Linked DNA regions of Cricetulus griseus. The protein of the gene in region 2 purifies or fractionates together with the protein of the main gene of each other region. This does not show direct contact. Links are inferred from orthologs where the notes say so. Each region holds a gene or a part of one and is shown on either strand. Other genes may lie near its edges.

What was found.
Region 1: the proteins of Arrdc1 (region 2) and Zmym2 purify together in Homo sapiens (affinity purification with mass spectrometry; 3 studies listed by BioGRID and IntAct, counting the BioPlex papers as one, with this or other methods). This does not show direct contact. The link is inferred for Cricetulus griseus from reciprocal best matches to the Homo sapiens genes ARRDC1 and ZMYM2.
Region 3: the proteins of Arrdc1 (region 2) and Hecw2 purify together in Homo sapiens (affinity purification with mass spectrometry; 3 studies listed by BioGRID and IntAct, counting the BioPlex papers as one, with this or other methods). This does not show direct contact. The link is inferred for Cricetulus griseus from reciprocal best matches to the Homo sapiens genes ARRDC1 and HECW2.
Region 4: the proteins of Arrdc1 (region 2) and Nedd4l purify together in Homo sapiens (affinity purification with mass spectrometry; 3 studies listed by BioGRID and IntAct, counting the BioPlex papers as one, with this or other methods). This does not show direct contact. The link is inferred for Cricetulus griseus from reciprocal best matches to the Homo sapiens genes ARRDC1 and NEDD4L.

What each region holds. Positions count from the first base shown.
Region 1 is NW_023276807.1:212,011,326-212,019,166, reverse strand, and holds part of Zmym2 (zinc finger MYM-type protein 2), read right to left. Parts: coding exon 7,733-7,841; intron 4,101-7,732; coding exon 3,986-4,100; intron 3,426-3,985; coding exon of another isoform or gene 3,412-3,425; exon of another isoform or gene 3,411-3,411; coding exon 3,159-3,410; intron 1,806-3,158; coding exon 1,685-1,805; intron 1-1,684. UniProt on the Homo sapiens protein: Involved in the negative regulation of transcription.
Region 2 is NC_048599.1:136,274,153-136,281,578, forward strand, and holds the end of Arrdc1 (arrestin domain-containing protein 1), read right to left. Parts: intron 5,861-7,426; coding exon 5,750-5,860; intron 5,187-5,749; coding exon 5,136-5,186; intron 5,049-5,135; coding exon 4,894-5,048; intron 4,751-4,893; coding exon 4,568-4,750; intron 4,471-4,567; coding exon 4,294-4,470; intron 4,216-4,293; coding exon 3,777-4,215; intron 3,719-3,776; coding exon 3,645-3,718; coding exon of another isoform or gene 3,631-3,644; 3' UTR 3,373-3,630; downstream 1-3,372. UniProt on the Homo sapiens protein: Functions as an adapter recruiting ubiquitin-protein ligases to their specific substrates. Through an ubiquitination-dependent mechanism plays for instance a role in the incorporation of SLC11A2 into extracellular vesicles.
Region 3 is NC_048595.1:408,499,552-408,507,409, forward strand, and holds part of Hecw2 (E3 ubiquitin-protein ligase HECW2), read right to left. Parts: intron 5,581-7,858; coding exon 5,480-5,580; intron 5,086-5,479; coding exon 3,718-5,085; intron 2,452-3,717; coding exon 2,356-2,451; intron 1-2,355. UniProt on the Homo sapiens protein: E3 ubiquitin-protein ligase that mediates ubiquitination of TP73. Acts to stabilize TP73 and enhance activation of transcription by TP73. Involved in the regulation of mitotic metaphase/anaphase transition.
Region 4 is NC_048595.1:174,383,323-174,391,785, forward strand, and holds the start of Nedd4l (E3 ubiquitin-protein ligase NEDD4-like), read right to left. Parts: upstream 4,678-8,463; 5' UTR 4,378-4,677; coding exon 4,330-4,377; intron 1-4,329. UniProt on the Homo sapiens protein: E3 ubiquitin-protein ligase that mediates the polyubiquitination of lysine and cysteine residues on target proteins and is thereby implicated in the regulation of various signaling pathways including autophagy, innate immunity or DNA repair.

The DNA.
Region 1 (7,841 bases), on a different chromosome or scaffold from region 2:
AGATGTGCTCAATGCCTTCTGCCTCATTAACCGCATTGTTTTATCAGTAAATTGTTCTCTTAAGTTTTGTGATAAAAGCATGAGCTCCCTACTATAATTCTAATCCTGTATTTCATAGAATCCAAGACTCCATTAATATATACACTATTTTTTTTAGTCATGTTTATATTGGTGCCAATTATAATCTCAAATGCATTAATTTAACAGTGCATGTCCATTTCAGGAAAAGGGAAATGCAAAAAAAAAAAAATGACTTAAAATGATGAAAATATGCAGCATAGTAAAGTCTTACAGCATTATACAAAAGAAAGAAAGAAAGAAAGAAAGAAAAGGGGAAAAAACCCAAACATTAAATACCAACAAGACAATACTGAGAAAGGAACTCCCATCTGGCAAATAGTCACCAACACTGGAAATAAATGAAACTAAATTGATGCTCCAGAACAGAGCTGAAGAGAAGAAACCTACTCTTACACTTGTTACAAACATGGTCATGCTAAAGGTAAAGTTCATACTTTTATAAGTTCTTGACAGCCACCCTGGAAACCACACTACAATGTGAGAAGTTGTTTACAAACCCAACTCTGCACTTTCTGAAAGTCAGAGTGCTTATTTAAAACACTCAAAATGAAACCATCTGACAGAGGACTGACTCAACAAAGCCTGCTAATTCCAGACAGGATGACAGCAGTCATGCAACTGGAGGACCTTCCAAAGAATGTCTTCAAAAAACTGTTTTCTTTCACATCTAGATTTTTTTTTTTTTTTTTTTTTGGTTTTTCAAGACAGGGTTTCTCTGTGTAGCTTTGGAGCCTATCCTGGCACTCGCTCTGTAGACCAGGCTAGCCTCGAACTCACAGAGATCGCCTGTCTCTGCCTCCCGAGTGCTGGGACTAAAAGCGTGTGCCACCAATGCCCGGCTATAAATATTTTATTTTCATCTCTACCCATTGTACCTACTTTGAAAGACATCTACCTTTGCACTAGGCAAACAGTGGCCAGCAACCTGTATAAAGCCATGTACCGTGAACTTACTATTATACAATATATGGCCTCTTCTAGTTGTAGTAAGACAATCAAGTAGATAGAGACTAAATACCCAAAAACCTAAAATAGTTACCTCTAAATAGAAAGTTTGTGTCCCTGCTTAGCAAGCAACAGAACTGCTCTAATATAAAAGACAATAGCAGAGTGATACTTTTAATAGAGCAACTGCTTAACACGGAGGGAAGCCTAAAGCCTATGTGGTTGGTATTTCACAAGAGGACTCTAAAGTTAAAGTAGAATATAACTTTGGAATATAAACTTTCATTTAAACAAAGAAAGAAATCTCAAAAAATGGTAAATGTCACTTCTTAATGGGGTGTGCGTTAGTGCATGCGTGTTATATTGGTTTTTCATGACAGAGTTTCACTGTGTAGCCCTGGCTGTCCTGGAGCTCTCTCTGGAGACCAGGCTGGCCTTGAACTCACAGAGACCTCTTCCTCTGCCTCCTGAGTGCTGGGATTAAAGGTGTGCACCATCACTGCCCAACAATACCATCATTTAATAGTGTTCAATTCAACCAACTTATACAAACATCTTAAAAAGTCAAGTATCAGGCTGAGCATGTAGATCAGTGGTAGAGCCACCAGTTCAATACCCCAGTACTACAAAATAAAAGTCAAATATCAATAATGTTCACCTTTTAGACAAGTAGCATTCAAACATTTTCACAGGACATCTAGAAGGGTTGGCTGTGTTTTCAATTTGTTCAAATACTGGCTCATCATCTTCATGTTTTCGTTTTCCAGTAGCAATTTTATCTTTAAAAAGCAACAATAACAAAAGTAAGCTTCCTAAAACCAATCGTTTTTTCTTTCTTGTGTATATGTGTATGTATGTTATGTGTATGAATGTGGGCACAGTGTGCCACAGCGTAGATGAGGTCAGAGGAGTTTTGAAAGTCAGTTCTTGTCTTCCACCTATCCTAGGCAGGCTCTCTCTGCTTCTGAACTGCATACTCCAGGCTAGCTGGACTATGAGCTTCCTGGTGATTCTCCCATCTACCTCTCTTCTCCCCATAGGGTGCTGAGATTACAGGTGCACCCTACTGCATCTAGCTTTTTATGTGGGCTCCAGAATTCCAATTCAAGTGGTCAGACATGTGCAACAACTGATTTCACTCACTGGTTTTACTTACCAACACCCTAAAACCAGTTCTGAGGAAAGAAATTACTATTCATCCATAGCACCTGTTTTATCAACATTGGATTAGGTTCTCTTCAGAGTTTTCTGTGTGGTAGGTTTTGATAATGTGTATCTTTCCAACAAAAGGAACTGAGAGGCTAAGAATACAGCTCAGTTGGCAGCTGGTAGAATGCTTGCCTAGTATGCCTGATGCCCAAGTTTGAACATCAGCTAAGCATAAAAACAGGTGCAATGTTTCATGCAGGTAGTCTCAGCAAAGGAAGGAGGACTGCACAGTTCCAAGGTCATTCTTTGATATAATGTTTAAGGCCAGTTTGAATTAGAACTCCAATCTCAAAACAAATAACAAAAAGAAACGAAGACATTTTAAGATACAGTTTGAAGGCAGAGGCAGAAGGATATCTAGGAGTTTGAGGCCATCTTGGTCTACACAGGGAGTTCCAGACTAGCCAAAGATACACAGGTAAGACCATGTCTCAAGAAATAAAGGAAAGAAAGAAAGAAAGAAAGAAAGAAAGAAAGAAAGAAAGAAAGAAAGGAAGGAAGGAAGGAAGGAAGGAAGGAAGGAAGGAAGGAAGGAAGGAAGGAAGGAAGGAAGGAAGGAAAAGGGGGGAATCACAACACATTTTGTTGTGTTTTATGAAAGCAATTGTCTTTAGGTTCTTAATGACTGGTTGAGGTGGGCTTTGATAGAAAAAGTTTGACTATTCCCATCACAAACAATCTCTAAATAAAAATGCTATAATACCAGGGCCAGTGATGGCTCAGAGGTTAAGAACACTTACTGCTCTTGCAGAAGACCTTGGTTTAGTTCCTAGAATCTGTATGGTGTCTTAAAATCATTCATACCTCCAGTTCCAAGGGATCTGACACCCTTATGGCACCCTGAGGCACTGCATATATGTGGTGTATAGGCAAAACACACAGAAAATAAAGATAAATTTTGATTTTAAAAGAAATTATACTACCTTCATTGTCTGTTCCACATAAGGAAGACACCTGGTAACGAAGACATGCTTTGTTTTCCATTGTTAAAGGATTTTTTTTCCAATGCCTAAACACGGTGCCAAAGGAAAGTCTTAAGTGTTGTTCCACTGTTTTCAGGCCAAAATACTTAGTGTTAAAGTAGAACAGGGTGTTCAAAAGAGCTACTGGAGAGTGTGATCCTAGTTGTTTTATCCTCCAGAGATAGTCTTCTTCAACCCGAGAGAATATTGACCCTTAAATAGAGAGAACTATTTTAAAAGAATTATAAATACAACAGTTTAAATTTAACCATGTAGAAATAAAAGTGAATTTAAAACATCCCAATGCCAATCCACTTTCCACATTAGGTCAATGTGAATGAACCTGAAAATTACATATTAGCTCTTTTAACAATATAAAAGGTTGGGGAACAGTGTATGGAACCACCATCCACAGAATAAGGTACAGGATGCTAGCTTCTGTCCTTCAGTAGGACAAACAAGTTATGATCAGAAAATAATTTAAAATATGTATAATCCTTGAAAACAACATGTGCTTCCCAGAAACAAATACATTTTCGTCACATCAGAATCTGTATATTGTTGGTCTTAAGACATAAATATCTAACCTTGCACTCTTCCTCAGAGTAGGCCACTTGTTTTACAAAGTTCTTCAAAAGCATTAGTTACTGACTATTTATTTGCAAATGAGCTCATGGGCACAAGCTCTTACTTTCTAATTTAAATCATACCTAACTATACTTAACATACTTTCTATAAAAACAACAATTCCATTAGCAACTATTAACACATATTAAAAAGAAAATTACCATCTGGAAGGATGCTTGGTTGCCAACTTCGGAGTATTTTACTCAATTCTTGCTCAAACATCTGGTATCCTGGATCAATAAATATGTTGTCCTTTCGATTACTACCACATAAGTACTACAAAAAAAATTATTGGAGGAAAACCAGCTAATTATAAGCAGTCAATGTATTGTACTTTTCATTTCTTAAGAAAAAGTTTTATGTTTAAGAAAAGCAAGGATTCTAATAAACACAAGAGATTACTGGCCATGGGTATGTGTGTACAATGGAAAAAGCATGAATTACCAATTAACCTGTTGCTTAAAACATGCAAAGCTGGAAAGTATAACACAAAATCCTGAATATAAACACTGGATAAGAATCATTAGTCTAGGCCACAGAAATGGTTTAACAAGTAAAGCATTTGCCATGCAAAAAGCATGACATGCAAGGGACCTCAGAACCCACTCTACAACATTGTCCTCTGATTGCCATCTGTTCAGTGTGGCATACACAAACTTTCATCATACATACACACACACTCGCTCAGTGGTCTGTCAGACACAATATAGAATCCTCAATTTATATCACACATGGAGAAAAATAATCATTTTAAAGAATAATTAATGATTAAAGGAAAACATTGAGGAGCTAGCTGGCTGCCTCTGCTCTCCCAATCTTCTGCCAATCCTCTGGTTGGGCTTTTGAAAATGCCGAGAACCTAACCAGGGTGGAGCACCTGTCTAATGTGCTCAAGGGCCCGGGCATTATTTCCAGGATAGCAGAAATCAAAACAGGAACAATATTTTCACTTGAAAACTAAACAATTTATAGGAGAGTTCAGGTCCTTTATAGTATGACTTTACCATCACTCTTTATACTTCATACCTGACACCTACCCATGTTAAACATGGTTCCTGGGAAACTGCCTGACTCTGTCTTCTAGGGATGCCATTTCCTTTCATCCTTTCTGTCTACAAAATTTCTATCTGTATTTCAAAAAAATTCAATTTAAAGTCTTTCATGCTGTGTACACGTTTGTGCAACATACATGTGCATGCACATGCATGTGGAGGCCATACGTGAACACCGAATGTCTTCCTTAATTGCTTCTCCACTTGTTTTATGAGACAGAATCTCTCATTGAACATGGAGCTCAATGATTCAGGTATACTACCTGGCCAGGAAGCCCTAGGAAACCCCATCTCCTCCTTCCTAGAACTGGGATTATAAGCAAATACTTGGCTTTTTACATGGATCCAAATTCAGAACCTCAAGCTTGTGCTGCAAACACTTTATCAACTGAGCTATATCCTTGCCCCATTGGATAGAATTGATAGATACTTGTCCCAAAACTGTTCTACAGATAATCTTTGGGTAGAGGACCATATATTTCAAATCCTTGAGCAAACCATATTATAGTAGCCTCCCTTGCTATTCTCCCTCATGGCCCTTGCCTCAAACTTACAATCCCCCTGCCTCACAGATGTTAGCATGCACCATGTACCATGCCTGGTTTATAATGATTTTCTAAGTCAAACTGAACAGATTCTATTTGATTTTTTCTTTTGTTGTTTTTTCTTTTTTTCTGGGGGGGGTCGTCTTTGTGGGGTTTTTTGTTTTTTGGTTTTTTTTGTTTTTTTTGAGACAGGGTCTTGCTATGTATCCCAGACAAGCGAAGAACTCACAATGCAACACCCAGGCTGACCTCACATTCATAAGCCTACCTGCCTCAGCCCCCACAAATACCATGCTAACCATACTCAGTCCAGATTCAAAACTTACGAATTACATAATTTAGAAAAGCTACTACTTATAGCATCTCTCTTCATCAGAACAAGGCAAAAAATAAAGAGTAGGTACATCCAATGCTTAGAATGTGTATACAGAAAATCAAATGTTAGCAATTAGTTAATGAAATCTATCAACACGAGTATGCCAATTTCTAAAACACATCAATGTCCAGTAAACAGAAAATATTAAAATGAAGGAGTAGCAAGACTCAAGCTTGCTTCATAAATTTACACATATTTTATAGTATTAATAAATGCTGCAGTCTTAAAGTCTCATGAATAAAAAAAAAGTTGATTGTATTTAATTAGCAGTTACTAAAAACTACTCATTTGTATAGAACTTGAAGTTGGAGGTTTCTGTCCCACCAGGTCTTGCCGCCCGTCAGCCCCAAATGATAGGCAGGAAGTATAGGCAGAGCTAAGAGAGGAAAGAAGAGGAGACATTGTGAAGCCACAAGAGAGATGCCATGTAGAGACCAGGGAGATGGGATGTGCCAGTGGTTCTCTGGTAAGATAAGGCCATGTAGAAATACATATATTAGTAGTTATGGGTTAATAATTAAGAGAGAGCTAGCCAGTAAGAAGCCCTAGCCTTTGGCAACAGTTTATAAATTAATATAAGTCTTTCTGTGTTTATTTGGAGCTAATTGGCTACTGGACCAGGCTGGAAAGAAACTCCAGCAACAGAACTACACGGGCCATTGCTCTACTCTTTCTTAAATTTATAAACATAGTGCAAAGCTTTAAAACAAAATCTTACTACATTCCTACGTCTAAAATACTCAAAGGTTAAACCCTAGAATAAATTCTGGGATGATGTCAAGTTTCTCTCTAGAGAGGCTAGCTAGGGACTTGAAAGAGAGAGAAATCTATCAGCATAGACTATGAAATTCTCAAAGAATGAAAATATTAAAAACAACAAATAAACCTTCAAAACTAACCAATCAAGCAACCAAAAAACCTAGAAGCTCATTTTTAGGATATGTTTAGAAGGTGCTTTAAAATAAAATTTTATATAGACTCTAAAACACAATGAAAATAAAGATATGGATTAAAGTAACAAGAAAGGCCTAAAACTTTCTCTCCTTTCCCACTGAACCCCAGGGCTCTGTTTTACACAGAAAAATAGTTGATCTTTACATCTGCATGGTCAAAAATCATGTCTCATGAAACAAAGGGCATATAAAGTTACTTAGCATTGTTAGTGTGGTCTAGGTACATATATTTTTACCCTGTATAGAAACATGAGCAACTCTAAAGGGAATTCTGAAGCTAACCATCTATGAATTCATTTTCTTGCAACTACTAAAAAATGATGTCATCCCCAAACAGACAACACTTTTAAGACTCCTCACAAAAGATGCATGAGGCTAGGCATGGTGGTGCATATGGTAATTCCAGCATGTAGGAGGCAGAGGGAGGTGGGTTTCTGTGGGTCTTAGGTCAGCCAGGGATATACAGTGAGATCCTGTTTTAAAAAACAAAAACAAAACAAAACAAAAAAAAACAAAAACAAAAACAAAAAAGGGGGGACACAGTTGAGCTAAGTCAATTGTTTTTTGGTTTTTGTCTTGATACAAAATATCTAGGAAAATATTTTATGTGCCCTAGGTATCTTTTATATACCCTAGATATTTCCAAAGAGATTAAATTCTACCTTTCTTGGTAAGCAAACAGAAATTCCGGAAACCTGAGACTGGAGAAATGACTCACCCAAGAACACTGCTCAATAATGAAGATCAGAGTTCAGATACAGCACCCACATCATGAAACTCACAAACACCTATAAACACTGGCTCCAAGGTATCTGATACTTTCTCTGGCCTCTGTGGACATTCATACACACATGTGCATACATACATACACATATAAATTACATAAACATTTTAAAGTTCTAGAAAATGAAGCTTAAATTTTCATAGGCAATCTATATATCGAAAAATTCTACCATAACTTTTATTATATTCAAAAACTTACCTCCTGTATACCAAGGCAGAGGTAATAGATGCTGTCAGGTGCGTAATTTTCTCCGTTTGGGCGTCGGATCTCATTGACAAAATGGGCTAACCCACAGCTGAGTTCAGCT
Region 2 (7,426 bases):
CAGTTGCAATGTTTGTTTTAAAAAGAAGGGGGGAGGGGATTCTTCTGTTATTGAGAATCCTTAGCCATTTATATCATCGTCAAATCTTAGATGTTATGACTCACCAACTGATTTTCCTGACATATTGCCAATCAACTAGTAACCTGTGTTGTAATGCCTACACCATTTATCTCACTTCAACTCTTCATACAGTCATTGTATCACCTCAGATCACCATAAAAGGGTGAGCACACAACAGTAAGATGATTTGAAATCAGACTGCATTCATGAAACTTTGTTACAGTAGTCTCAGAATTGATCTACTGTTAGTAGTGTTACTAAATTCTTTTTATGTCATGTTTATAAACTTTATCATATGTATAAATAACAATAAAATATATACAGAACACCATGCTATGTGCAGATTGGGGCATCCACAGGGGAGTCTTTGCAGCTAAGGAGATGCTACTGTATCTTCTAAATTAGAAGAACAATTTAGGCTAATCAGAGGAGCCTTTGAGTCTTTTGTTTTTCAAGACAGGGTTTTTCTATTTAGCCCTGGGTGTTCTGGAACTCCCTCTGTAGATCAGGTGGCCTCATAAACTCAGAGCTCTCTCTGCCTCTGCCTCCTGAGTGATGGGACTAAAGGCATACTGCCACAATCATCAGCAAAGGCTGAGTCTTAACCTCCTATCACAGACACGTTTTTATTTCCTTGATTTTTCCAGAAACCAGACATTCTGAGCTGTATCCTGGAAGACACCTCAACAAGGAACCTCAGGAAGGGTTTCTCTGCTTATGAGGTGGAGTGCTGGTAAAGGATGGCACTCTATCTTGAAGAAAAGTCCTGGACGGAAAGTGTCCCCAGTTAGGAGGAATGTCCCAGTTTCGAGAAGGAATTCTAGTTAAGGGCATGTCCTAACTTTGTAGGAAATATTCTGCTTCAGAAAGATGTTTCTACAAGTTTGAGAGGGTACACAGGGGAGATTGCCATGTTGGGAGGATGCTCCAACTGAAGGGAAGTAACTTCCTGAATAGGACGTCTGCTCCCACAAGAGGGGGCTATTCCAACATGGAGGAATGCACCAGATGGCAAGCCCTCCACTCCCCACCCCCAGCAATCAGGAGACAAATGGATGCTCTGGTTAGGAGGGTATGTCTGGCTGGGACCTGTGCATCAGTTAGGAAGTGTGCTCACCCTGGTTACCCAAAGTTCTGCTAGACACAAGCTTCCTGTGTACGGGGCCAAATAATCATTACTAGACTAAAAACCTAGTGCCACACGAACTATCTTAGGCCACCTCATCTCCATAAACAATTCTGTCTTTCCCATCTGAGACGTCAAAAAAGAAGCAAAAGTGAGGTTTCATCGGCAAAAAATAATGAAGTCTTGAGTTTTGACAACCAGCCTAGACTCAGTATCACAGACTGAAAAATGGTTCTGCTAAGTTGACCACTGTGTTCATACACATACAGAGGAGAAAATGGACAGTACCCAGTGAGTACCGAGGATTCTTTAGGACAGCTGAGTTAAGGCTATTTATGATGAACGGAGCCCTTGTGGAGGTCATGGGAAACAGTCATGCACAGTCCTCTGTAACCATGGCCCAAACAGAGCCGTCTTCCCCAATCCACCTCTCCATCTCACCTTTTCCCCAAGACCTTTGTTTCAGATAACTGCAGCATAGCTTGCTTCTTTCCTAGCCTTTGTGCCTTAAATATAGCTGCCTCAGAAAAGCCTTACCTGCTCTCCTCACTTCTCATCTTTTATTCTGGATGTATTTTTCTCTGCAGCCTCTCCCCTCCATGTTATCTCTTATTTATTTTGGGTGTTACCTTTTGTTTTGTTAGAGTCTCATCATGTAGACCAAGCTGGCCGCAAACTCACAGAGATCTATCTACCTCTGCCCCCAAGTGCTATAATTAAAGATGCTCACCACCTTGCCAGGCTCCCTATACTCTTACATGACATACGGTGTATGACCACTGTTTTGTGTGTCATAGTGCTCACAACAATACCCTCCAGCAAATAAAACAAGAAAACCAACAACAACAAAACAAATATTGAAGAGGTTGAAACATAGGAGTAAACCTTTTACCAGACAAATAAGATGTGACTGACCTGTTAGAAGGCTACAGACCCTTCCACACCCAATTTGCAGTTAGCCATAATCACACTACAACTTAGTGACCATTGACTACCTATCTAGTGGCTCCTGCTCTAGGCAGGTGGGGTATGTCTGAGGGACAAGCCTGCTTCCCATTCCCATTTTCAAAGTGAGTGAACCAAAGTAAGGGAGTTGAGTGTATGCCCCCAGCCTGAGACAAGGTGGGATTCAAACGCAAGCTCTTCTTTCAACTGTAGGCCACACCGCTTCCAGAAGGTGTTTAAGAGATCTGTGGCCTACTTTCTGCCTTTCTCCAAGACCTACCTGTCCCACAGTATCAAATGTTAGCCAGGTATGTGGCTGCCCAGTGAAAGACCATGTTGCAAGGAGTAGACAATAACATGTTCCTAAAGACATTGGGGTGCAGACCTAGTTGGTTAAGTGATGTGAAATTTGGGGATACTGGCTGAGCACTGCCAGTATCCTGCGTTCTAGTACACCTTGTTTCCCGAAAGTCTGTGAGCTTGTTGTTGGTTACACTGGAAAGGTGGCCACCATGCCTAACAAAGCCGCTCTCTCCCATCAGAACTGAAACTTAACCAACTCCACAGTAACCACTTCCAGTGCAAACATTACATGTAAAGGACAACAGACCAGTGCTTGTTACCAGAGATGTTAAGGAGTATGAAGGCAACTATAGGGTGCCTCTGAAATGCTGCTCCAAGGAGCCTTTGTCTTTCATTCTTGCTCTAGGGACCAAGTTCATAGCTTCAAGGTCTTGTGTGTACAACAATGCTCAGAGCTGACAGTGACCTCATGCCCAAGAGTAGAGTTCTACTGCAAGCAAGTTCCTAACAAGTCCATGAATATTTCTGGTGGCCAGGCCTCCAAGCACACCATCTAGAACAATGGTTTGGAATGCAAGCCAGAGTGTTCCCAAGAACACCAGGAATATCCTTAAACAGACAGTGGGGAAATTAAAACTTAAACGTGGAAAGGAGTGGCTAGCACGGCTCTATCGGGGTCACATTCTCAGGGAATATAGAGGTGGGGTGCCAATGAGGTGAGGAATAAATACGCTTGAAGTAGAGTCTGAGGTAGGATTGGGCAGGCAGGTTGCCTCCTGAAGGGTATGGTGAAGGAAGGAGCTCTGGTGTGTGTGGGAGGGTGTCTTTCAGAGGTGAGGTCAAAGGAGGAGCTTAAGGGCTTGTATTCTTCAGGATCGGAGTCTGTACAGAGTGTCCACTTTGAGGCTAGGCTTAGGATGTGAAGACCAGCCACTTGCCCAGCTCTACAAATAAAGCGCTTTATTTATAGTCTCTCCAGGTCCCAGATCCCTGCCGCCCTACCCCATCCTCTCGAGAAGAGGACTGATTAATTCCAGAGGAGCCAGGAGAGGCTGGTCCACAAGGGGTCGTCCCATCGGCTGCAGGTCCTGAGTAGCTGGGCCAGGTAGAGAGCAAAGGCACGAGGCCCTGGGCATCTTGTCCCAGGGCAAAGGCCAGGTCCACCGAAGAAGGTGGCAAGGGTTAGCTCACCAGGGTCAGCTCCCTGGGATCAGGCCAGGGTCTGTACTGGCACTACAGCTCTGCTCATAAGATGGTGGAGCCTCTGTGGAGAGAAAGCAGGATCTACAAGGGGTTCAAGGCACCCTCACTTCCTCCCCCAGCCCCTGTCATTCCCACTCACCATAGGGGTAGCCCCATGAACTGTACTCTGGGGGAAGAATCAAGGCGCTGGTGGTGGGTACTGGGCCCCCGGAGCCTTCTGCAAAGTAGGGGACAGTGGCACCTATAGAGATGCACAAGGGAGGGTGCAGAGAATGTCGAGCAGGGCTTCCAACCTGAACACAGGGATCAATGGTGGCAACAGACATAGAACCCATAGTAGCTGACAGTGGCTGCTGCTGAGAATGGCTCTTGGTAGACAGGGAAACTGGGTCTGAGACGTGGGGGCCACTAGCCACTGCCTCAGCCTCTTCCTGGGGTGGTGCAGAGGGCACAACTGAGGACAAGGCCCCAGGAGAAGACCCTGGGCCTGGACAGGGGCTCAGTGGGGTTTGGTTCACAGCAATATTGCCAACAAAGAGTGGGAGAGTCACGGTGGCTTCAGGTGCCTTCAGGGAGACCTGGAAAGAATGCAGGTATTGAGGAGTCAGGCCAAGGTCACCTAGCCTCAGGCCACCCAGCCCTGGGCAACACCAAACCTGTAGGTAATAGTCGATGTGGATAAGGCTGCAGCCAGGCAGGGCTGACTGGGGAAGGGCAGGCACCAGGATCTGTTCTTGCCACTGAGCACGCCTCCAGGCCTTGACACCTGTACCTTCCACCTCTGCAATGGTTCGCACATCATAGATCCAGCGCTTGGCCTTATAGGATACCTTCTAAGGAAAGACCAGACTGTGGGCTTGGGCAGACCAGCAACCCACCCCTTCTGCCCCATGGGAAAGGGACAGGCTTAGGAAGCCAGAGGGCTCTGACCTGGAGCAAGCTGGCCACCACAGGGCTAGTGTCCTTGCCTGACTGGTTCTCAATGTCAGCCTGCAGTCGAAGCACCTGTCCCACCACATAGCCACGAAGGTCAGTGCTAGCTGTGAGAACCACACTGCCCGTCTTCACCAACTTGTAGGAGAACTTCTTGGTAGTGGAGGCCACATTGGGTTGCTTAAAGTGAAAATGGGCAGAGCTTATGAAGTGAGTACAGAATGCATGCCTGTGGCGTGTGGACAGGCCCTCAGCCTGCAGATCCTGGCTGCCTGGTCTGAGAAGGCTGAAGGTAACCAAGGAAGCCTCTCTTTCATCCTCACCTCAATATCTGGGATGCTGTTCAGGTTCAGGGGGCTTAGGATATAGAACACGAGGCTACATTTGTGATCCTTGGAAAAACGTGGAGTATCGATGGAGGCCTTCACTTGGTGTACAATCTTTCCAAAGGGTCCCTCAAAAGATGTGGGTGCTGTGGCTATGGAGAAAACAGGGATTGGCTGGCACCTCCCACCTGCAGGTCCCACCATTTCAAGGCTGCTGTCCCCACAAGCTTTCCACTCACCAGGCAGCAGGAACTGAAAGGGGAAGTTGTGCTCTCCAGCTGGCAGACTTCCTACAGAGACAAGAAGGAGGTGGGAGCGAACCAGAGGAGATCCATAATGGACACAGTGCCAGACTAGAAGTAGACACTACAGTCCACACTACTGTCTCCGGCACTGTAACAGTATGGTCATAGCAGGAACTAAAGACTACATAGAAGGGCTTGGTTTAAATGAGGGTGTGTGGCTGGAAATGTAGTTGGTAGTGTTTGCCTAGCATACACAAAGCTCTGGTTCAATTCCAAGGACTATGTAAACCAGTTAGGGTAGCACACCCCTGGGAGATGGAAGCATAAGTTTAAGGGCATCCTCAGATAAATAACATAGCTTGGGCTACATAAAACCCTGTCTCAAAAACAAATAAATACAAATTTTAAAAATAAAATTAGAAGCAGGAAGGTGGTTAAGGCAGAGGATGGGATGAAACTGTCATACTGAGGGTCAGAGCCCACCCAGACCCAGTACCAGAGAGTAGGATAGAGTGAAAATCCAAGAGACAGTTGTTGGGGGGGGGGATAGATTGACCCCATTCCAGGCAAGGGTTGCCCCTGTGATCACTCCTGACTCCCACACTCACCCTTGTCAGCCAGTGACAGGGAGCTGTTGAAGTAGCTCTCCTCCACCACCCATGCCCCATCGTTGGCCTTGTTGGAGACCCCACAGGAACCCATGCAGGTCACCCGGATAGCTGTAAGGGGAAGGGTGGCATAAGCCTAAACCAGCTAATGGCCTAGGCTCCTCCCTGTTCCCAGCACAGGAATTCATGTAGGGCTGGAAGTACCCATGGGTTAAGCAGCCTTACCAGCAGAGGTACTTGGGAAGGCCAAGACACAAACAGCCTGTTATCTTCCCAAGAATACCTCCTGGCCATCCCCCATTTTAGTGTTCTTCCAGGGAGCCAGACTGGCAAAGAAACTAATAGGCAGTGTTTCATCTGTCCTACAGACAGTAGGAGGCCAATAATCTCCTAGATAATCCCAGGGCTACCCCCAAATTGGCTACCTCAGCCTCTAGCCAGACTTAGAGGAAAAACCAGGTGCCTTTTGTTTTATGATGCAAATCAGTTAGGCCAGGAGATGCCCCTTCAGTCTCAAGAAAGCTAATGCCAGCTCTCTCCCAGCAGGAATGCAGTCAAACCTGTCTGAGCCAGTCAGCAATCTAGCACTGGAAGGCCAGCCCTGACTTACTTCCTGAGCAACAGTGCCCAGGAGGCTGACTTTCTACACTATGCAGTAGCTGGTCCTCCCCCACCAGTGGGAGTACCCAGAACAGGAACCACTAGAGACAGAGTTCAAATTCCTCTGTCTAACAGACACATCCTGGGTCCACTGTGATCAGGTAGCCATGGGTGAATGAGGAGGCACAGCTGAAACTGGTCACAAAGGAGAAGGCTCAGGCAAGATGGTAGATAGGTGGGAGCCTATAAGAGGCACCCTGAAGTAACTCCCTTCTCCCTTTAGGGTTGGGTCATGGTTTCAGCCCTTTTCCCAGACTTATTTGACAGGCTCATGGGAGGGGTAAGATTGTTTGTTCAGACTCTTTCATCTTTGTGACAAAGCCACCAAGAAGGAGGAACAAAGATATCCAAGTACCTAGTTGACCACACCCGCCTCACTTATAGTCGTCCTACATCATGCTCCAGGCATCCTGCTGGTTACCCACAGAACACTAAGTTTTCTCTTATAAACCTTTGGCTCATCCTCAACCCATGTAGCTATGCACATATGCACTCCCTCACCTGATGACTGCCAGCCAGCACCTGTTCCCACTCTCGAGGTGGTCCTGCATTCCTGCTGTACCATTCCAACCTTATCACCCTAACCTCCAACCTGATCTGAAGTTCACACACTTCTGACATAACCTCTGAAGTTAAACCACCAACTATTCACACCCTGGAATCTGAACATCAGTGGCCTCTGAAAAGTTTCTGCACCCCATAAGCCTCTCCGCCAACGCAGCAACTCAAATTAGACCAAATAAGAAAATGCCCACGTTTAATGGGTAAAACACTCCCGTATGATTTTTGCCCCCCAACCCCAGGAGACAGGAGAGACAAGAAAACCACCTGTTTTCTGGGGGACAGTTTAAATACTCTGTGGGGGTAGTCTTGAGCATCTCTGGGGGAGGAGCCCTGTTTGAAGGGCTTTCTGGGATGGGGCAGGGTTTGGGAAGAGAGAGATGGGGGATGGGTACTGAGGTGTAACTTCCACCAGAACAGCCTCTATAGGCCAGTAAATAGTTCTGAGTTGACAGG
Region 3 (7,858 bases), on a different chromosome or scaffold from region 2:
AGTTACAGTGACTCCTTTCATAAGGTAGGGACTTCCCCAGACAGGGTCCTACTGCATAAGCCTCTCCCACAAGAAGAGAAAAGTTCACCTCCCCAGGTTTGACTTAAAACACAATACAAATGAGGTTGCAGCAAAATTCCCAAACCTTCTAATGTGCCTTAAGTGTTTCTGGCACCTAATAAACAGCATGCAACCATAAAAACCACCTCAGTGCCTCTAGACAGTTTTGTATTCATTTGTCCACACACCTCGATTCTCTTCTAGCCTTGGATTAGACTGCTGGGTCTAGGAGAAGGAATGGCTCTGATTCAGTTTTTCCTAGCCAGGGACCATCAACAAGTTCCTCAGTTTATCCAGACTTCATGCACACGGAACAAAAATCACCCTTGTAACATGAAGAATAAAAACACAGAGACAGAAGTAGCATAAAAAGGCTGGGTCGGGAGGGGATAGACAGCTAGCAGGAACAGACAAGATGAGCTATGAGAATAGATACACAGCTGAACAGTCTTCAGATAGGAAGACCCCAGCCTCCCGTTACAAGTCTGCAAACTTCCAAGCTGATTGTTCCTGTAACACATGTATATATCTCATTTTTATAAAGACATACTTTAAGATCTGAGCTTTTGAAATGAAAAGACCTGGTTATATATTCTTCTTGAAATGTCATTTGCTGAGTAGGTGTGGACACTTGCCTCTCCGAAAGCATACTAGAAGTTTAGATGGGACAAATCTTTGTTTTCCAGATTGTCCTGCCATCTTCAGATGTTTGGCATCCCTGCCCCCTCCTCCTGAAGCCCAGCACCACACCGTTATGAAGGAAGGAAGTTGATGGACTTAAAATATCGTCTGTGGGGGCTGGCTGGCACCCAGAACCACTACTGAAAGCAACTGAACAGGTATAGGTCTTACGATTTATCTCCTGTACACTAATCACTCACTAAACAAGACATATGACTAAATCACTTTTGCTCTTTGAGTTTATCACCTTATTAAACTAAAATGCCAACTGTTTGCCAAAAAAACCAATTATCCACACAGTTCTATTTATCAGTGTTTAAACAAGGCGATTGAAATATTGTGAATAGGACCCTGATTTCAGCAAGAAAGCATCTCTTTTAAAAATGTAAGCTCTACATCAAAATTATGTCCAACAGATCCCAGAGGAACTCCACCTGTCTGGAGGGTGCTTGTCGCCAGAACACTCATGCAAAGCTATGCTTCCTTTTCCAATGCTCAGAAACTCTGTGACTGATCCACGTAAACATACAAAGCTCTCCCACTACTCTCTCCTGATGTTCCCAGTCCATTGTGCTCCAATCATACCAAAATATCCCCCAGGAATAGTATTTAATCTTTACCCAAAGGTATGAAAAAGTGAGAAATCTGTGTACAATGGAATTCCAGAATGATCAAGCAGTTATACTGACAAACTACAGTAGTAGCAAATGGCTCTTGTCCGCTCCCTCCTGATCACACCATTGAGTATTTCAGCATCAGAACTGCTTGCTGCTTCTCTTCACAACCCAGTATTTCAAGTATATGAAGGCCCATGTGTGTCAAGACAGGTGAGTGGAGAGAAGAGCAGAGGGTGAAGAATGGGGAAAACCACAGGTCATGAGGGCATCTCTCCGGCTGCTTCTCCAACACCGAATCTACAGAGCTGTGTGCTCAGCCACCACAGCGAGCTGTTCTCAACATATTGTTGTAAGAGACTCAGGAACTTTAAATAGAATTCATATTTCATGCTGCTTAAGAGTAGGCTAGTACCACTTAGACTGTGAACCATTTCCCCCACACCCCTAGTCCTCAACCATCTATTAAAGTGCTCAGTGTATTCTGAAGTAAAAAGAACAAAACACCCTTTAAACCATCAAGCAATGGTTATATCCCCCAAAACTGTAGGCTAATTTCTGAAGTTAGTAACATGCCCTATATATCCTTAAGGAAGAACTAAGATCCTTGTGCTTAGTGTAAACTGACAGAAGAAAGGAAATCCCATACTAATAGTACAGGGTGAGGTCCTTCTAAGACAGTTCCCCATTTTGCCTACTCACTGAATGAAAATCATGCTGCTGTGAGACATAATTCAAAAAATTCTCTTAGGCAACGAATGCCTGAGATACATGGATGAACTTCCACAATTATGGCATTTAACATGGGCAGAACAATGTTTGTTCTTCCTAGCTGCCCTTTCATTTAGAATAGTACCAGAGAGTAGTGACCATACAGAGCATCCCAGATGACAGCCACTTGGTCATCTCCTAGACACCTTCTTCTCCAGGACCCATGGAATGGATCTGCCTGTCACTCTTGCACACTGCCAGTATAAGCCTTTAGCTAACAGCTGCTCACTTGGTGGGAGAGCCTCGTCCACCCTCTGGTACCGACTGACGTCCTGTCTCACTGAAGGTAGTGACCGCAACGGCTGGTGCCCATTGGCTTGAGAACCTAGGATTAAAGATAAAGGTTACCAAGTTACCTGGCTACTGTTTTTATGAGTGTTCATGTGTGTGCACACACACATATGCACACACACACCACACAATAAAAGAACAGACATCTAGGATACATGTGCTGGCACATATATGTAATCCCAGGGCCCAGCAGATTGAGGCAGGAGGATGGACAGTTTTAGGCTAGCCCAGGCTAGCATAAAAAACAAGCAAACAAACACCTCAAATATCAATCCCAATTTGTCTATGCTCTCTTATCTCATTTCCCACATGAGTGTAGGGGCTCAGAAGAGGTGACCCAAGAGAAATGTCCCCAGCGTGCATCTTTCCTTACCCCTCACGGCCTCTAACTTGCTCATGCACTAACACTTTAGGGTCACAAAATGGCCAGAGGTTAATGAAAAGCAAAATAGGAGTCAGAGGGAAAGAAAATGGTAATTTAGGTAGAAAAGTAAATCACACGATAAGAAAATAATTCCTAGGCCTGGGATGTACCTCATTCATACAGGGCTTGCCTGCCATATCAACTCAAGGTCCTAGCATCAATTCCTACTCCAAAAGAAAAGGAATAACTCCTGTTTTGAGTCTTTGATATTTAGGCACCTCAAACTGCCCTTTCTCTTTTTATGGCCTCTCTCTACAACATTTTGCATAAATCATTCCTGGGAGCCATGTTCACTAAAATCCAGTACAGATTTTTCAGCTGAGCTTGAAACTTCGGGCACTTACGCAATGCTCTCTCCCGTTTTCCCTCTTCATGCATCAGAACTATCGCTTAACACAGCTGACCTCTTTGGACAGAGTTGTGATGAAAAGCCCACACTATCTGATCCAGAGCTGTAACAAAGAGGTACTCCTGATAGCCCCTACACATTACATTAAGGTAGTGACTGGTTTTGCATCTTGTTTAAGATTGAAGGCTGCTGTTTGCCAGGCCTCGTATGGTAGCAGTAGATGATCCATGTTTTAAAAAGACTGAATTTGAACTGAGGTCTATGTGCCTGGAAACCATGGCATCTTCTTTCCCAGCTATGTGAATGGTGAACGATTAAGTCCCTAAGTCTGGCCTCTCCAGATCTGGACTGGTAGGCCTGATGCACAAGAAGGGCTTCAGCTATCCATATTCCTTACCTGCTTCCATTTCTTCCCTTTCTTATTCCTTTTGCTAAACTGCATTATAATCTACATGGAGGGAAACTGTAAGAGTTCTTTTTGAGCAGTTTTGCCTAAACCAAGAGTCATGCTGTCTTCTATATCCTACCTCCAGTGGCGCCCTCCTCCTGGCCAGTGGCCTCTTCACAGGCACCTTGGGTGTCTCCAGCATCCCCATCTTCTTGGGGCTCTCTCTCAGTGGCAGCAGCAGGAGCAGCAGCAGCCCCCTCCAGACTCCCCCTCCTCTGCCAGACCTCCCCCAGCTCTCCCTGCTCAGATAAAGCAGCGACTTCAGCCCCTGGCTCTTCCTCTTCCCTACTGGGCACCTGCACAGCAGGTAAAGAACCAGGAGTGCAGATGGACTCTTGCGACCCCTCTGTAGGGCCGCTGCTGGTGGGCTCAGCTGCACAGGCCCCATCTTCCTCTTCCTGAGAAGAAAAGGCTGGGGTTTCTGGATATCGCGCACTCTCCAGAGATGAGCACCGTGTCTCCACCGAGGACAGCTGTGTGGTCACGCTGTCATTGCATGAGCTGTCAGCACCTTCCAGGTCACTCTCTCCCTCAGGTCTGGTGCTGGCCTCACTCACACTCTCTGTCCTGGCAGGGTCACTAGGTTCTGTCTCAGAGGACACCTGGGAAGGTTCAGAACCCTGGTCCAGGGACTCAGTCTCACTGGCAGCTCTGCGGCTCCCTCCGGATGTGTCAGAGGCTCCCGTGTCTGCACCACTTGTGGGCTGATCAGCCTCTTGAGAGCCTGACAATTCAGTGCTGCCCTGGTCAGCACTGGGATGGGGCTCTAGGCTGGCTTCATTGTCATCAGGGGCTGCAGTTGAGGGCAAGGTACCATCTGCAACCTCTGGAAGGCTCTCTGGTCTCTCTTCTAAGGAAGCGGCTTCATGAACAGAGGCATCCTCATTCTCAACAGGGTTGTCCTCCTCTGGCTTGGTCTGAGATGCCAGGCTCCCAGCATCACTTCTGGATGCCCTGCTGAACATGATCAAACCTCCTTCCTCCTCCAAGGAAGATGGGTAACCTAGGTCTTGCTGGAACTCGTGGTCTTCTTCATCTGAGTCAATGTGAAGCATTGCATTAAGTCTTGTATCAGTGGGAAAACTACTCCTCAGTTTGGGAGAGGCTCCTATGGGCCGCTCGGAGGAGGTGGCTGCCCCTGGCCTGGAGGGTCCATTGTGTTCAATAGCATCTAAATAATCATTGAGTGAATCCTGGCGGCCTCTGGGAGGTGAGGTTCTTGAGGAAGTAGAGATTAAGTCCTCGGTGTCCATCTCCAGAGTAGAGCTAGTCCTGAAAGAATGCTTGGGGGTTCCATCTGCAGCGCTGTCCTCAGACACTGGCCCATTGGCACAAACAGTGCTGTCATGATGGCTTCCTGGTATATCCTCGTCATCTGAAGGGCTGCCCAGATCTCCGTTAACAGTGTTGACTCCGAGAATGGTGCCAACAGCTTCTGGAGATGCATCTGAGAAGGAAAGCAGCACTTGTGAGCAGGAGGAAGAAGACAGAAAGCTCAACTATCCTGACACTAACCAGTTCGCTGAGTTCCATCATCCCACCTGACCCAGGCAGCATCCCTGGCTGCTAGGATCCTCTACTCCTTGCTACACTTGCATGAAGTTTGGTACAAGAGTAGTAGATGCCCGCTCCTGCAAGAAACTTCAGCCTAGTTTCAGAATTCAAACATAACTCTTAGAGCAACCTTTGCTAAGCAGACTTTGCTAAGTGCTTTGACAGCCGACAGGCCATCACTGGAAAGCTATTCCAGCTTGCACTGGACACACAACAATCCTGCTTACATGCTAACTATCAACTGGGCAGATCTGACACATGCTTATGTGTTTACACAGACACCTCACCTTCGTGAACAGAAGACGTGACTTCTACTTTAAACTGGAGGTAGCCACTCACGTGGTCAGCTGGGAGCCTTCTGCCGAGGTTGTAGCTGAGCATTTGGTCACTGCGGGAGGAGAAATGGCCCTTCATCCTGATTGTGCCTTCGCCTTCTTCCCACAGGCCACCCCCACATCCCACAGACTGCCCTTGGAACTTTCAGAATTTTAAGTAAAAACAGGCTCAAGCACAATATGACCTGATGTGTTATATTATTCATTTGCACAAGTGACCCAGGGATAAAAGAAAGTCTTGCTATAGGACACATTAAAGGAGAGAGAGAGAGAGAGAGGGAGAGAGAGAGAGAGAGAGAGAGAGAGAGAGAGAGAGAGAGAGAGAGAGAGAGAGAGAGAGCCATAGGAGAACAGGCTGCTCCTGGATGGCAGCTCCAACTCTGTGAGTAGGAGAGGGTGCTGACCTCACCTTTCTCACATGCAAAATAAGGAATGGGACTGCTGGTTCCCATTCTCTGGGACCCTGGCCTTCCACTGAGTCTCAGGTCCTAACAAGGTGTTCTGCAATGAGGGAGAAGACCACACCCCATGACTGGTGCTAGAGGGGACCACAATGGGACTCTCATTTTTGGGCCTGCGGTAGTGCTAGCCTTAGACGTCCAGCTTTCCTAAAGATTGAATTATCCAGGTATTTCAAGTCCATATCGATTTCCCAGATTCAAATGCAAGCAACTCTGAGTCAAATAATTTACTTCAATCACAGAAAACCAAAAGGCTATTGGAATCACACCATTTCTGCTCTCACACCGCCCTCTACTGGCCATTTCGGAAAGAGATGTGTCTGCACCATTGTACAGCTTTGCAGTATCAACACACATAGCTTTGTTTTGTGAACAAGCTCTTAAGAAAGAAAAAAAAAAAAATCGCAGTTTACCAATGGGTAAGTCACCTGAATTCCTACTCAAGTTCCTAGACGTTTCCTTTTATGATATGTGACTTCTGTCCTAGATTGATGCTACCAAATGTTTTGATCATCATACAGAGTGTTCACTGAGTGACATGCACATGCTGCTGAGGGATCTAGGGATTTGCTGTTCTTTACTCCCCTGGGCACTGGGCAGGACACATCAACCCTGCTTTCTAGCGGGAGACATGAAGGCACAGCTAGGAAGTTCCTGGGTGACAGATCCAGGATGAGACATATTTTATCCTGTTGCAGAAGCCCCTGCCGGGCAGCCCTGATAACACAAGTTCATTTTACAGTCTCTGTGATTCCAGGCTGCTTTTGGTGGAGTCCCTTTTACCACAATTCTTTCTTGTGGGATACCTGAATGCAGCTATCGGTACTCTTGCTGAACTGGGAGTTGAACCAGATATTTCCCTGGGATGTCTGATAGAACCGCATGACAGCTATTACAGGCATATAAAAGCCAGGGATGCCTCTTTCTGTTCCATGCTGCTGCATTCCTGTGTCTCAGGCATTTAGAGAGCACACACAGAAGTGCTTGCACACTTGTGTGTGTGCCCAGCAGCAGTAGTGCCCCTGTCTCTACTTCCTGGTTTTTCTTCCATCTCTTCTGACATTCAGTCCTCTGAATCATTTCCTTGTTTAAAGACTGATGGCTCCTCCCTTCGTCTGCCAAAAAATAATGATGCTAATGATGGAATGTTCTCAAATCGATGGGTAAGGTGGGGTATGAGTGTTCTATAAGAGTTGCACTGAAAGGACTGTGCCCATCTGTTTGTCTCGTCTCTTATACCCAACACAGCTCTTGACATTTATTAGGCACTTAATGTATACATAATAACCAACTGTCAAATGAGAACCTTTACTTGGAAGAATTTTAACTGAGAAAAGTCCTCAGTTCATCTATTCCACATGAAAGCCCAGAAAAGCTCCCTGTGCTTCAGATCCTCTGTGAAGGCTGTGCTACTGCACCGAGTGCCAGTCTGGGGGCTTGGTCTTCCTGGCTTGTCCAGTCCTACTCCAACACAAGCTGCCTCCTGCTGTGATATGATATCATTATGAAGAATATGCTATAAATTACTATTATTATAAAAAATGAACAGTATAGACTTTCCCCAGATGCCTGAGGCATTTTCTCATTGATCAGAGGAACTGATAAACACAGGACCATGATAAGTCTTCTAGAAAGTAGTTGGCCATGCTAGGGAAAATGTTACATCTAAACAGATGCTTTAAAAATAGATTAGGGAGTGTGGCTTATCCCATCCAGCCATACCCTGGACATTTTCAACTATTTCAGATAGCCACAGTTCACCAAATATATAACTAACCAACTGGATAGAAAACAATAATCAGGTCAGAAATATTAGCATATGCCCATATCTGGTATGACAGCAAAGCTTTTAACCCACTCAGAGAAACAT
Region 4 (8,463 bases), on a different chromosome or scaffold from region 2:
AACCTGAAGCTGCAAGCTCAGTGGGGAAGCATTTGCTTCATAGGCAAAGCTCTGAATTCAAGCCAGAGCATCAAAACAATGAAAATAAAAAAAAGTTCCACTACTACAGACTCTGGTGCCGACCAGTTAGAGTAAATAACCATGTTTCTTCTAATAGAACTCATCTCTTCTGAAATATCCTTGTTTCAAACTTTAACATCTATGAAATACAGATGCTTCCTAAAATTGACAGTATGTCTTACTTTGACAGCAGTATTTGTTTTTTTCTTAGTGGCACATGAAATAATGATGCATCTTAAGTTGGTCAGGGCCTTGAAACAAATCCAATATGCAATTACGGCCAAGTTAACCTTAAGTGTTCATTAGCAAGTTTATAATTACATACAAATCAGTAGAGACCCCTAAGGTCATAGAGAAGAGCGCTGACTGTGGCTACTACACACACTACCACACAGGGGAGGCATATAATGCTCCTAACTGTCGCCAGGTGAGAACGTGACCCAGAGAAGCTACATTTCTCATCATTTTTCACGAACCCTCCCAAGCTTTAACACACTATGGAGACCACACTAATGAGAGCTAGCCGTCAATTTTGGTCAACCCAAACAAACCCACAATGTTTAGCTCATTTTCCAAGATCATGAGTAATCTATCTATGAAAACCTTGCAATATGCTTTGACAAAAAGGGAGATCTGGGAGCAAACTTTAAAAACTAGGGCTCTGGGGCCAACAGGCCTACTTTCGAGTGTTGTCACACAGTTCATTTAAGCTCTCTTAGCTTCCATTCCTCAGCCAGAAATGACACCATACCTCAAGAGTTTCAATGAAGCACAAGTTAGATGACACATGCTTAAGGCTTAGTCCTTACTGCATACAGTTGTCCACATGGAATAAGAGATACATCCAAGTACCATCTTATGTCAGCCTGACCTTCATTTCTATGTCATTTACCCCATTCTAGCCACCAGAAATATGTTAAGTGACATATCCCATTGTTTTATTTGGTTTTGGTTGTGTTTTTGTTGTTGTTGTTGTTGTTTTTTGTTTGTGTGTTTCATGGTTTGTCTGTCTATTTGTGACAAGGTTCTGGCTTTTAGTGCAGGCTGTCCTCAAGCTCACCATCCCTTCTTCTGTCTCTATATGCTGGGGTACCATAGCTAATCTTTTCAGACGGGTGTCATTCAAACTCTTGACATCTCACCCAATAGGAAAATCTCCCCCCCCCAAAAAAAAACAAAACCAAAAACAAAAAAAACTGATACCTTTCTCAGGTGTAATGACAGGTTTCAAAAGAGTAACAGTAATATTCATGAGTAAACCTTACCAAAACAGGCTACAGATGGCCACAAATAAACTCAAACAAGAAAAAGCCCTTCAAGGACCCAACCCAGATGCAGAAACTAGTCCAAACCTTTCTGATTCCAAACCAAATCTTATCCTCAGCCATGAATATGAACTGTTGTTCGTTAGCTTATCCCTTCAATACCAAAACTCATCTAATAGTGATTTCAATTTTGGTTTCTGAAACTGACATGCCTTAAATTATAGTGAGTATGAATTAGAAGTCACCCAAGGAAATACAGCTGCAATGCATACGTAGCACATACACCCACAGAAGCAAAACCTATATCTTAATCCTTCTCATTCAGTACACTAGCCAGACCTTAGGCTGATGCCCCAAGCAGCGATGTCTTGGCCCTGCCATCCTGCTATGCTCTAGGTTAGCACTATGCTTGACCAATAGCAGTACATAGCTCACAGTGGCTTTATAAGATGGGGCATGACTAAGTTCCTTCCAAATACATAAAGCTTTCTGCCACTATCAAACATGAACACATGTCTACCTACAAGGAAACCCTGGGTACAGTGCCCGATTTTCTCAAGGTCTACAAGTAGACTCCTCTCTACCCCTACACGGGTGTCTCCATGTGATACTTGCAGCCCTCTGGTGCTCACTATTTAACACAACTTGACAAGCCTCTAGTGCTGTTCATTTCATCAGGCAGTCCACTTTCAGAGCCTGTTAATTACTCTCATTTGTTTGCTTACACACTAATTCGGGAGAGGCGACAAAGCAAGCAAATTTAACAATTTGGTGTTAATACTATATGAAGGAGTTCTGTATGTCTTCAAATGGCCCCCTCCCTGAACAGAGGGAAACCTCCCACACCAAACAATTGCCTTAGAAATATGAAGGCAATCATTTTCTATTGGTGATAGAAAAATGAAAAAGGGAGGCAGATGCAGCTTATTTTGGATCATATATGATGTTTGAGGAACTAAACAGAATACATAAATAGTGTTTTTCATCTCCTCTTGCTATTCCCTATACAGTCCCTCTGACAATACGCAGGAGCGAACAGTCACAGGCACACTCGGTTCTTGTGTCTATGTTCTCCACTTTGACACCCCACACCAGTCAGGATCAGCAGCGATTCTCGGAGACAAAAGTGTCAAGATGCTCCTGAGGTGGATTCTGACACTGGCTGCCAGCATAAACAAAGCGCGCGCACACCAGTGACAGATAGGATTCCTTTAGGCAGATACATTTCCCAAAACACCCTTAAAATATTTCTTTCAAGGAGCTTTTAAAAATAAGCATGTTATTTTTAAAAATTAAGAGACCCTAAGAAGAAACGCAGCTGTCTTCATCTCCCTTGATACCTCATCCAGGGAGCCCTTTGTTCAGTATCTCAGCACCTCCAAGAGCTCAGACTGCCCTCCAGCTCTAGACAAGGAGCTAGGAGGAGAATCCCCTGGGTAAACAAAACAAGTCTACTTTCACCCATCTCCAGGTAACAGCTAACAGCACACACACACACACACACACACACACACACACACACACACACACACACTTTATTTTACACAAGCATGACAAATAATCAAAAACATATCACACATTATTTGCATTGTGATCATTCTTTGATAAAATAAGCAATCCAGCAAGCACTATCAAAAAATAAAATCAACCCTTACATGCCCTGCCTACCTCAAGATACCCATTTCATTCCACACTTAGGTAGAATACACACACTCACACACCATGCCACAGTAGGAAAGCAGTACACACACACACACACACACACACACACACACACACACACACACACACATGCCAATAGGGAAGCTGCTGAAAGCAAAGCCATAACGTGAATCTGTGAATCGGTCTCACATAATAGACTCTCTTTAAACCCCACCCCCATCTCCAGAGAAAGAGAGAACCTCAGAAAGAAAGGAGCGAGGGTAAGAAAGAGAAATCAAGAAAGCCCAAATTTCCAGGCATCCACTTTTCATGAAATGCACAACCAGGATAGGAAATACCTCCCCGCTGAGTAATGCTTCATGGGTTGTAAATTCACCTCTCGAAAGGGGAGCCAGACCTGGGCGCGCACCCCGCCAGATGGCGAACCACTCCTACCTGCTCCATCCAGCCTGCCTGTCACTCCGAGCCCGCGACAGGCCTCCCACCCCCCTTTTTGGCAGAGCAACACACCAATAAGAGTCGAGAATGGCTGGTCGAGTGAGGGCTGAGCAGTGATTTAGCAGGATCCTTTCAAAAGGGGGAGTGGGGACCGCGATGAGCGAGTGAGATTTTTTAAAAACAAAGCCCTCTCCAGTCAAACCGACCGTTTGGGGGTGTGGCTTATTTCATTCGTTTTATTAATAAAAGAGATCAATGGAGCTTTCTTCTCTCCACCCACCCCAGAGGTGCGGGGCTTTGAATCCTCTTGACGAAGGAGAAATGGCAGGGCTGCAAGCTTCCCCTAAGTTTCCTGCAGCACCTGCCTCCTTCTCAGATCACCTCCACACACCAAAATAGAGGAGTTCGAAACGCACAATCCCAGCTCCAGACTTTGCAAGACCCAGGGGCGGCCGTACACAACTCTCCCGGTGTCACCCCCCCCCCCCCCGGGATCTGCACACATCCGCTGCCGAGCGCCCACTAGCAAGAAAAGTCCCAGAAGGAGACACCACCAGGCTCCTCAACAATCCCCAGATAGCCTGCGCCACGCAGAGACCCCTGCAGCGACCCAGACGTGACACTTGTCACGGACTCCTGGCTGCAGGGGCATGACCAGGAAAGTTGCCTAACAGCCCTGAGAGACGCAGCTTGCAGAGGAAAGGGACCCGCGGGGCAGCGACTCACGCGGCCTCCGCCCACCCCGAGAGCCCCGGGCAGAGGAGCGGAGCGCTTCACCCGGACAAGTCACCCACCGCTCCGGACCGCTCTGGGTCACCCGGATTCCGGGACCCACTGCTAGCAAGGGACGCGCGCAGCGGAGTGGCCCCGTCCTCTCCCCACAACGCTCTAGGCAGAAACTCACCTCCTCTTCCGAAAGTCCGTAGACGGGCTCCCCGAGCCCGGTCGCCATGGAGCCGGCGCCCCGCGCGGGGTCCTAGACGCTGCGATCGGCTGAAGTGCGTCGCGGGGCCGCGACCCTCTGTCCTTCTGCGCCGCCGGGCGGGGAAGGGCCGGCAGGTGAGGCTGCACCCGGCCGCGGCGCCGCTTCCTCCCGGAAGGCTGCGGGGACGCGCGGACTGGCGGCTCCGAGAGCGCGCCGAGCGGCGGCTGGCCGAGCGCTCTCTCTGCTCAGCGCTCAGCCCGCGGGCTCCCGCCCCCGCCGCTGGCTCTCCCGGCCTCCCCAAGCCCCGCTCAGCGATCCCTGGGACCCGCGCCCCCGCCCCTCGCCTGCTCCGCCCGGCCCGCCCTCTCCGCCCCGCCTGCGCCGCCCGGCGCCCACGGCGACCCTCCCGTTCGCCGGGGCGGGCACTGGCGCCCCCCAAGCCAATCACAGGCCGGGTTGGGGGGCGGGCCGCGGGGGTGGTGGTGTTTCGCCCCACGCCCACCCCACCCCCAGCGCCTCCTGGGTCACCCGCCGCAGAGTCCTGGACTGGGGCGCGCCCTGGCGGGCTGGGCCTGCCGGGCTGACCCTCTTACTTGCCCCGCTTTTCTCTGCCTTGGGGACCCGGTGGAGTGGACCTTAGGGGGACCATGAAGACGCCGTGCAAACAACAACAAAACCATTGTTTCCATTTTTATCTTTCTTTTTTTTTTCTTAACCCGAAGTCTCCAGGAGCGTTAAAGGGGCGACGATGCATGTTTCTAGACCCCCTTTAAATTCTTGGCAGCTATGGCAGGCCAGACTTGGCTCACCGCGTCAGCTCCCCGAAAGGATTCGCCTGGCCGGGCGGCCAGCCTAGGAGAGGCTGCCCCGTTGTGGCCGCGAGTCGCCATTGCCGATGTCAACTCTACTGGGAACAAAACCAACTCTGCGCCCGCGCTGAGTACACACCCACCCACTTGAAACCGGGCTGCCTGGTTCTTTGATAAAAGCTCGGGCTTTTTTTGTAAGGCACAACGTGAAATACCAAATTCAACTTTAAGTTTGTCCTTTACATATGCAAACCTTGGAGACGTCTTATTAGCCACCGTAGGAGTCTTCCCACATTCCAGATAGGGAATTTCTCTAGCAAGCCCTTCATTTAATCTTTCGAAGTACAGGAATGCAAGAAGCTACTTTAAATAAGTTAAGAGAAATTCGTCACTCTACTTTTTTCAAGAAGCCTCCCCTAAGAGCCAGCCGTGGTGGCACACGCCTTTTAATCCCAGTACTGGGGAGGCAGAGGCAGGCAGATCTCTGCGAGTTCAAGGCCAATCTGGTCTACAGAGTGAGTTCCAGGACAGCCTCCAAAGCCACAGAGAACCCTGTCTCGAAAAACCAAAAAACCCAAACAAAAAAAAAAAACAAAAACAAAAGGAAGGCATTCGATCCTAAAAATAAGTGTTGTGTGCAGTGGTAAATTAGAAACAAGAACAGAAAGAACGTGCTATTTTCCTTTAAAAAGAAATCATCAGAGTGTCTGGTTTTGTCTGGGAGGTTAGGATTTTCACTGAAGGAAGAGAGAACAGATCAACAGAGTCACCTTGCCTGGCCCACCTTAATGATCAAATACCTGGTGTACACCCTGAAAGGCGGTCCCACACTCCCCAACTTTAGCTCTCCCTTTCATCCCTTGCAATGTGTCCCATGTAATAGCTTTCCTTTGAAGCCAGCCTTGTGGAATCAACACACTGCTCCGAATCCTCGGAATTCAGAGCCATCAAGTTTATATGGCGCTTAGGTGCCACAAGAGCCCTACCAAGAAAAATAAAGATTGTGAAGGAACATTTCCCAGAACTCTGCTCGTGTTTTCCCATCAAGAATTTTCAACTTATCAAACCTAGACTATTTTTCTTTTTTATAAAAAGTACACGGACACACACACACACACACACACACACACACACTCATTTTACACGCCCTTCTCTGTGCCTCTGACCCATATAAATGGAAGTTCCTTAATATACACAAGCAGAACTTTGTCAAATTTGCACCTTATGTTACAAGGTCAGTAGAAAGAGCTAATAAACTCCAGAAAGAAAACCATCTTTCTGGCGGGGGGGGGGGGGTTTCCAGAGATGATTTGGTTACAAGCCTATCCTCCTTCGAATGCCTGTAACTGGAACTGCACAGGATCAAATGAGTACTTCCGTCTTCACATATGGGCACACACGCATGCAGACATACACATATAAATAAAACAAATTTTAAGAAAAATGTTCATTTCTGATCCTAGAGGTAAGGCTGACTTAAACAACTAGTCTCTCCAAATAGAAACATTCTCTCCAGGATCGAGGCAGACTCCCCCAGACAGTTATAAGGCTTACAAGCCCTGAGCTGGTTACATAAAAACAGTAAATTGTTGAGAGAAAGGCCAGCTCTCCAGTGGCACTCCCTGGAAGTTGGGCAGGGAGTTCCAGGGATGCAGCCTATCCATGGAGCAACTATTCATGACCATATAGATGGGCTTTTCCATGACGCAGCTGTATTTGAGTCATCCATGTCCCTTTAAGTGATCATCGGTTCACTAAGCTACAGTAGAGAAAGTATTTCATCGTGTCCTACCAGAGATGAATATACATCTGTTCATCTCTCCCCAGGAAAAGTCATACAACAGGCTGAGTCATCTGGACACTGTAGAAGGGTGTCATACTTCTTCATCCTGTTCTTCGTCATCCTGCTCCCTCCCCACCTGCAACAAAACAGCCTATGCCACCTGCAGTCTGGGTCATGCCCTTGACATTCACTGAGGGATGGATATGAGAAGTGGGCCATGGTCGTGATCAAAATACATGGTATGTGTGTATTACATTCTCAAAGAATCAATAAAAGTTTATATTAAAATATTCATAGGAAATTTGCTGTTCATCATTTATTATGGACAGTTTACAAAATTACAATCTGTAACTTCATTCAGCATCCCAGATGAGCAGATTCAAACAAAACATTTACTTGGAGGTCTGTGAAAGAAACTTTACTGCATTTCAAGGAACTGATAAATTCCTATGGATGGTTAAAATTTTAAAAAAAGTTTTATTTATTGTTGGTTTGGTTTTGTGTTTTATAGAGACAGGGTTTCTCTGTGTATCCTTGGCTGTCCTGGAACTTGCTCTGTAGACCACTGGCCTCAAACTCACAGAGATCCACCTGTCTCTGCCTCCTTAGTGTTGGGATTAAAGGCATGCACTGGTGTCGGAAACCCCCACCACACCCATACCTGCCCCTTCCGATTGTGATTTTTGTTTGTTTGTTTGTTTGTTTGTTACTTTGGCTACCAGGAGATGCAGAGCACCAAGCCATTAAAAAACAAACAAACAAAAAAAAAAAAAACCGCACTTCAAACTATCAATGTCCTTTGTAACTGTGTACCAGCTTTCTCCCAGTGCAGTGGTCTTGTACACTGGATGCAGGGTAGAAGCATCTGGGGAGCTTTAAAAGTAGACAAAAAGCAGGTTGTCCTCCCAAGGTCAGTGGAGGAGGGCAGGTATCGGTGGTTACAGAAGCAACTCAGGTGATCCTCACATGCAGGTTAGCCTGAGACCTACCTGCATGTGGTGATATATTAATTATGATTTATTAGAGCTTGCCTAAGGATTCAGAAAGCAAAATCAGCCGCAACCAGAGAAGCCAGGCACACACCTTTAATCCCAGGACTAAGAATTAAGAGGTAGACAGAGCTCTGTTAGTTCAAGGCCACACCAAGCTACACAAAATATATCCAGTCCTAAAGTGAAACAGCTCACACGAAGATGATCTCAGCACTTGGGATCACATGCCTTTAATCCCAGGACTCTTGAGAGGTGTTTAAGACGGGAACAGGGTCTCAGAGCTGGCATTCATTTTCCAGCCACATTGAGGACAGGAAGACATTGAAGTCTCAGGATTCTCCAGCCACAGTGAGGAGCGGCAGCAGGATCAGGGTTGGTGGAACCAGGATGGCCTTTTAGTCTGAGATAGGGTAAGAGCTAGTGGTGGGATGCTTTGCTTTTCTGATCTTCAGCTTGAACCCCAATATCTGTCTCTGAGTCTTTTATTTTTAATGTTACACCTGTATCCCAAGCCAACAGCTCCCAAACT